Linked DNA regions of Rhinolophus ferrumequinum. The protein of the gene in region 2 purifies or fractionates together with the protein of the main gene of each other region. This does not show direct contact. Links are inferred from orthologs where the notes say so. Each region holds a gene or a part of one and is shown on either strand. Other genes may lie near its edges.

Evidence for each region. The genes of interacting proteins can lie anywhere in the genome.
Region 1: the proteins of RMND5A (region 2) and GID8 purify together in Homo sapiens (affinity purification with mass spectrometry; 5 studies listed by BioGRID and IntAct, counting the BioPlex papers as one, with this or other methods). This does not show direct contact. The link is inferred for Rhinolophus ferrumequinum from reciprocal best matches to the Homo sapiens genes RMND5A and GID8.

The regions. Positions count from the first base shown.
Region 1 is NC_046306.1:825,745-829,489, reverse strand, and holds the start of GID8 (glucose-induced degradation protein 8 homolog), read left to right. Parts: upstream 1-935; 5' UTR 936-1,082; intron 1,083-3,686; 5' UTR 3,687-3,698; coding exon 3,699-3,745. UniProt on the Homo sapiens protein: Core component of the CTLH E3 ubiquitin-protein ligase complex that selectively accepts ubiquitin from UBE2H and mediates ubiquitination and subsequent proteasomal degradation of the transcription factor HBP1.
Region 2 is NC_046296.1:7,840,832-7,844,576, forward strand, and holds the start of RMND5A (E3 ubiquitin-protein transferase RMND5A), read right to left. Parts: upstream 2,757-3,745; 5' UTR 2,441-2,756; coding exon 2,299-2,440; intron 1-2,298.

The DNA of each region.
Region 1 (3,745 bases), on a different chromosome or scaffold from region 2:
TTGCACCTTGGAATCACTTTCTGCGAGGGGCCGACAGCACTCCCGCGTTATTCAGTTCCCTGCTGAGCAACCCACCCATCCAACCCCGGACTTCTAATTCAGGACGACGCCCGACTTCACAGGGTGGAGACCGGGGGCTGCCCTCTCCTGCCTCCCCGAAGCGCTCACGATCTTTCCACTTGAGTCTCCGGCAATGGGGAAACGAGGCCCCGCTCTGACGTCTGCATTCTTCTCGAGCAGACGAGCTTTACTAAGCAAACGATCGCGCAAAGGTGTCTCTGCTCCTTCGCGTCCCCCAGGTCCGGGCCGCGCGGCACCTCGGGACCCCGCCGCACACGCCTGCAGCCCCCGCCCGGCCTGGGCGCGGCGGACGGACCCCCGGTCCTCGAGGTCCCCGTGGGCAGGCCCTGTCTGTTCACTCATCTGGCAGCGCGCTCACCGACACGGACACGGTCGGGTAACCCCGGGGGCCCGCCTCAACCGACGGAACGGAGAACTCCTGCGGGCCGCGCCGGGCGGCTCCTCCGGGCCTGTGCGAGGGCAGGCGACCGGTCGGGAGGGACCCTGGCTCGGGGCAGCGCGGCGCGCCGGCGCCTGTTTCCCGCCCCCGCCCCGCGCCCTCCGGGCTCACACAAACGACGGAAGGGACGCTGGACCTTCGCCTCGGACTCAGTCTCGCTGTCGCCATCCCGGTGCGAAGTTCCCCCACAGCGGTGCCTCGGCGGCGGCCATCTTGCCCAGAGGACGACGCCTTTTGACTCTCGCGCCAACCCGTAGAGCGAGCGCGCCGCGAAGGGCATTCCGCGCAAGGACGGAAGCCGCGCCGCCGCGCTTCCGGGCGGCCGCCGCGCTCCGCCCCCTCGAGGGAGCCCTTGATTGGCTGCCCGCTCGCGATCTCGCGGGAAGAGGCTGAGGGGGCGGCCGCCGGTGCGTCTGCCCTCCCGTTCCCCGCCCCCGCCCCCGCCTCTGCCGCGGCCCCCGCCTCCGCCTCCCCCTCCCCGGCGCCGCCGCCCCCTCCCCGCCCGGCCCGGCCCCCCGAGCGGCCGCGGAGACCGCGCAGCGCGGGAGGCGGGATCCGCACGGTAAGATGGCCGCGGCTGGCCCAGGCGGTCGGGCCGAGCGTCCCCACGGGAGCGCGGCGGGGCGGGAAGGAGGCCGGCGTGGGCGCCGCGGCCCCCGGTGGGGTTCGCGGCCGGGTGGGGGCCGAGTCCGGGTTACCGTGCGGCCGAGGTGCGCCCGGCCGGACCCGCGCCGCGGGCCGTAGGGCGTCGAAGGTCCGAGCAGGTGTCAGGATCCGAGCGAGCTCCCGGGCGGAGGCGGCGCCTTCTGGATTTGCAAGTCAAACGGCCCCCTTTGCTCCCCGCCAAAGTGGACGGCGCGGCGTGGCGGTGCCGGGCGCCGTGACTCGGGGTGGACTCTCACTGGGTGGACACGGCAGGGAGGCTCCGGCCGTCGGCGTGTCGTTGACTAGACGAGGGAGACGTAGCACATGTGTCTGGCGGGAGCGATCTTTGTAACAACTGCTTCCGAGCAGAAACACCTGGCGAGGACGCGGGTGGCCGCTCGGAAGCGAGGGCTCCTCGTCGTCAGAATTGGGGTGTCGATGATGTCGGTTGAATGCTCAGCTGCGGAGTTCCTCCCGCACACAACAGAACCGGCCGGCTCTCCCGAGTTGTTGCTGTCCGACATCGCTCTCGCCGCCAGGGAGTGGTACTGGCGTGGTTGCTAATTACCGAGCGGAAACGCAGAGAAAAGCGCCTTATTTGACCTCGAATTGTCGAGGAATCAGAATTCAACCGAGTGACTTCAGCAGCCGGGACACATGGGCATTTGTACGAGATGCATGTCGTCTTTCGGCCCCTTCCAAGGACCTGAGGACTTTAGCTTGTGCCCCTTTGCTTCCTCACCCATGCTCTCGCTCCCTGATCTTTGCCAGACTCTGGGCTTTCCATATTTGTTGGCGGATGTCTCCCTGATGACTGTTTCCAGCGCCGAGGCCGGGACCTGTAATCAGGTGTCTGCTTGACTTCTCCAGCGGGCGGGCTGTCTCCTCGTCAGCCCGGACTCGCCCTGCTCCTCCAACCTGTTCCTCCCCCAGTCCCTCCTCATTTGTGGCCCCATCCTTCCAGGTCTCAAGCTCGCAACCTCCAGTCCTCGGTGTCCTCTTGGATCCGCCCACGTTGGGCTCAGCAGGAGGCTTGTCACAGAATCTCGATCAGCTGTGTCTCCAGCTCTCCTGCTGTCTGTCGTCTTGTTGGGGTGGCTCCTTATTGGTCTTCCTGCTCAACTCTCACCACCCACTTTTGCTGTCTTTTAAGTTTTTTTAGTTTATTGAAGCAATTTGGCACATGCTTTGCTACGTATAAAGTAGTGTCCATAACGTGTATGCCAGTGACGAAGTGGACAGCGGTGGACTCACCACCCATCTCAAGAGCCCCACTGGCATTCCCAGGGCCGGCACCTCTCTGCCCCTGTTCCCATCATAACCGCCTTCTACGTTTCATGTTTTCTAAGTACTTACTGCCCAAGCACACTTTATGTAGTTTCTCTTGTTTTTGTTCTCTACAAAAGTGTCTGCCACATCTGGGCTATCGTTGCAACTTGCTTTATTCACCCGGCTGGTTTCTAAGACTCATTCCCGTGGTGGTCATTTATCTTAACTACTTTAGTAAGTTCCCTTACGTGAATACGTGACCACCGTCCCTTCTCAGCAATCCTAAAATCCAAATCGCTCTGAAGACCAAAACTGTTTGTTTTTGTTTTTCACTTATTTGGTAGCAAAGCCCGACCTGGCCAAGGCTGTATCATAGCCTCTATGCCACTCAGCACAAAAACTCACATTTCACAGGGGAAATAACATGTGGTTATGGGTTCTGCCCCAGACCTGGGGAGGGTGTCATATACGCATGATATACTGTAAATTGTGCTGTATGTAGTCTTTGTGCAATCTGAAACATTCTGGATTCTAAAACATCTGCCCAAGGGTGTGGGGCCTAGGAACCACAGCTCTTTGTCCATGCTGCTGTTGACACCGGGGCGGTGGCTGCCACATTTCTGCCATTTTGAACACTTTCTGTGAACAGTCTTGTGTTTGGTGCCCGGATGTGAGTTTTCGAGGGGGTCAGTCTAGCAGGAGAATTGCTGGGCGGTGCAGAGCGCACGTGTTCAGCTGTACAGAGAATGCCAAATGTTTTTGCAGTGCCCGTGTATTCTGACAGCGGTGTGACAGTTTTGGAGAACTCCGTGTCTTTGTTACACTGGTCGCGTCAGGCTCCTCCGTTTTTGTCCGTGTGGTGGATGGGCAATTGCGAGCGCCTTCTGAGCGTGAACATCATAGCACGTAATTCTTCGGCTTACATCTCTGCGGCTGCCCTTTGCACGTAGGGGAGGAGGCATCTAAGTCCGTTCCCCAGCCAGTAGGGCCTTCCTCAGTCCGACCGCAGCCAACCTCTTGACCTCTTCATTCTAAGACCCTTGGCTCTTTCTTGCGTCATCCTCCTCCTTCCTGGTCCCCAGCCCTAGCCCTGCGTTCAGGTCTCAGGCCCTTTGCACTCACTGTACTTCAGATTTAAAGCGTCTTCCTACTCACTCCATCTTACTTCTCATTACGTCTCTGTGTTTATTTCTGAAACGACTATAATTGTGACAGAATTATTCACCAATTGTTAAATTTTTTTTTCCTGTAGAAATAAATCAGGATGAGTTATGCAGAAAAACCCGATGAAATCACGAAAGATGAGTGGAT
Region 2 (3,745 bases):
ATAAATAAAATTTAAATTTAGAAAATTCCTTGAGAATTACTTTCACAAACCACATTAGAACTCCTCTAGAAAATAATAAAAAATACTGTACACACTTTACTCTTACAAAAATTGTAATTTTCCCAAGTACACTTCAAACATGTCATAAAACTGTTATCCAATTGTTTCATTCTACTCTTCTTTCACCAATATTGCTGATATTTAGAATAGCAGCAGTACGATATAGTTCTTTTCTGTTATCCCTTCCACCACAAAAGGAAATATATAAATATATTTGCCAGTAGGAAAAAAAAAAAAAACATGCTAAAAGGCATATAATCACAAGTCAAATCACCAAAATTTATCCATACTATTTATCTTAATCAAGGGTTGTCCAAAATGTGGTTCCCATAACCACTGATGTGAATGGTGATTTTACCTGTATGTGAAATAATACTTTAGTGGTTATGAATTTATTTTTAACATGTAACTTATACTATCACACCAAACCTATGACTTCACAAATATCGTTGTTTAGAATGAGGACAAATCTACTTAAGTAAAATCATAAATCCATCTGAAAAATAACAGTGCACATGTATGAGTGAAGTTTGAGAAACAGCAGTGCATTATCCAAATTAGGTCAAGGGCACACTGGGAATGAAACAGCATCAACCATACTGAATTTTAAATTAGACCAATTTTCATACTTACAGGGAAACTCTCATTGAAAGCCTGTTACAACTAAATGACAGCAGTGTCTTCTCTTCCCTCAAGTTGGGGAAATTAAGTGAATCTAAAGTTTAATCAAAATGATTAAGGATAAGAATCAGAGCTCAGTACAATCCTTGAACTTCTGGCAAATTAAGCTAAAAAATGGTATTTCTTTCCCAGACCAACACCATCTATGCATCATCTCCGGCCACCAGTAAACATTAATCACTTGACTCTATATCCTCGTTGACCCTTCCCTTTATCTCACATGTCCAAAACCAAATTCACCAGAGCCTTCCCAGGATTCCCAGACCACTCCACCTCCATTCCCCTTCACAGGCAACCACCTAGGTCTGCTAATTTTTCCATATTAATATTTCAACTTCTACCTCCACTATGGTTGCAAGTTTGCTTCTTCCCCGGAGTTCAAAAATGACTGTGAAGTCCAGAATGAGATGATGTTATAAGGCTCCTTTACCATGGACTAGCACTTACTCTCAACTGAAAGCCATCTGGGAAAGGTAGGTGTGGAAGAATGGAGAGAAGAGCGAAGCTCAGCTCCACTGCCTTCATCTCACCTGTCACAAGTATCAGCATTTCACCCCAGCTACCAAATCTTCCTTTACATAAATTTCTGTTCAGCCTACAAGTTTGAAAAGACCCTCTATCAACCTTCTGAATGAACCTATTAAATAAAAAGTCCCCTACTTCTTGATCAAAAGGAATCATCACAATGAATATTTTAATGTAAGGATACCAGACCTTTAATGTCACTTAAAAAAAACAAAAAACCTTCCCAACCAGCTTCCACAAGTTAACTTTGGCAAAGTGTCTGCTCCAGGCTCTAGGGCAAGAATGAAATAACCGAGGTAAAATACCTTCTAAAGGAAACATGGTTTCTAAAAGGAAAACAAGTAAACACTTGACCAATTGAGGCAAGTAACTAACAACTTGCGCCACAATTTGCTTCAGGAAGAATTTCCAATTGTTCCTCAGTCTCATCATAGGCTACACTAGGAGAGCTGACCAGTTTGGTTCAGCTAATTCCCTTGCAATCATGTCAGCGCTGTTGCGGAGTTGAAGAGCTGCTTCCACACAGCAAATTCTGAAGTTGCAGAAGCGACTGTTCTGTTAACCCACAGCTAAGAATAACACTCGACTTTCTAATTTAAAAAAAAAAAAAAAAAAAAAAAAAGGAAAGTCAGTCCCCCGAAAAAGGATTTGAAGCAGGGGAGGAGGAAAGGGCCTCCCGCAGTTATCCTCTTCACCTAGACCCTCCCGGTCGGTCGGGGCAAGGGGCACCCACCCCGGAGGGCGGCGATTTGCAGGTGCGGCGGACCGACCCCCCACGCAGGTTTAACATGGCTGGAGCACGCGGCTCCGGGATAGGTTTCCGGGTGGGATCGCGCTCACTCTTAATTAACAACCAGGTCGGACAGGTTCGAGTCAAATCCAGAAGAGAAGGAAAAGTCACGGGGGTCTGAGGATCTCCGCGCCTCGTGGAGGCGGGAAACGGCCCTCCGAGGGCACCCCTCCCGGCCAGCCATGGCTTCAGGGACGCGGACGGGTGGGCCCGGCCCCGCGCGCCCAACCCGGCCGCCTTACCGTGGCTCTGCAGGATCTCGTGCTTGAGGCCGCCCGTGTAGTCGATGAGCTCCTCCAGGCCGCGCTCGCACAGCTGCCCGTAGCCCGAGAACTTGTGCAGCACCTTCTCTAGCTCGCGCTCCACGGTCACGCACTGATCCATCTCGGAGGCGGCGGCGGCGCTCGGCTCCTCGGCGCCCGGGTGTCCGCAACCGTTCGTCCCGGGCCCGGCCGAGGCCGCGTCCTGCTCCTCGTCCCCCAGGCGGGCGGCGCGGGCTGCTGAAGCGGCGGGCAAGCTAGCCCCGGCGCCGGCGGAGCCCCGTGCAGCCTGTGCCCGCCTGCCCCATGGCGCCCGGCGCCCCGCGCGTTGCGTACGCTCTGGGTTGCTCGCCCCACCGGGCCCCGCGTCCCTGTTCCCCGCTTGCCGCGTTCGGGAGCCAGCGGCCGCGCGGCCGATTGTTTTTGTTTTCACGGGAACCGGCCGATGACCTGGTTCTCCAGGGCGGCACCAAGAGCCGCGGACCCGAGAGGGGAGGAGCCACCCCAGCGAAGGAAGGAGGCGGCGCGGGCCGTACCAAGCGCACCCGCAAGGGGAAGCAGCCCAGCAAGCGCGGGCGGAGGAACGCTGCGGGCGTGCGTTCGCGCCGCCGCTCTAAAGGTGAGGGCCGTACCACGCGAGAGGCGTGTAAGGGAGAGGTGGAGGGTGGAGCAGAGACCCAATTGGTCCGAGGAGCTAAACAGGGAACTTTGGAGGCAGCCCCAGGTCTCAGAGAGCGCTACAACTACGCGCTCCGTAAACAAGAGGGTGGAAACCGTCCCTAACCACTCCTCCCAGAAACCGGGAAAACGAACCAATGGGCGCGGTGCATACGTAAGGGACCAACGTCCTCCAATCCCTGGCCTAGGCGTAAACCTTCAGCCAATCCGAGTCTAGGGGCCAAACCAATAGTCTCGCTGTTGGAGGGGGTGACTTGGAGAGCAAACTGGGAAGCAAGTTATTTCTGGAAAACCGTGCGGAAAAACGAGACAGGAAGGAAAAGGTCTACCTTCCATAGGACTTCGCCCTAGCCATAAATTATCTTATCTCCCTGTCACTCGGGGGTACTGTCATTCCTAAGTTTTGGAACACGGACTCGTCGCCGCGGTGGAAAAACCAAGGCAGGCCGGGCGGGGGTCACTAACGAGAATTAAAGGCGGGTTGAGCTACTTGCTAGTCGAACTGGGCCCGTGTCAGGAAGAGCCCGGCGCGGCCGTCAGTGCTACCTAGACGCCTGCAATACCAGTAGCAGGTCACAGTCCGCGCCGCCTCACCCCCATCACACCTCGCGGGCCTCTGCACTTTGGCGCCTGGTCCTGGAACCTTTCTTGACCGGTTGCTTCACCCAGGTGCCACGTGCTGGCAGTTTCGCGGAATGGAAACCCGTTGCAGAGCCGGATAGCGTGGTCCCTGCCTCTTAGGCGCCTTATT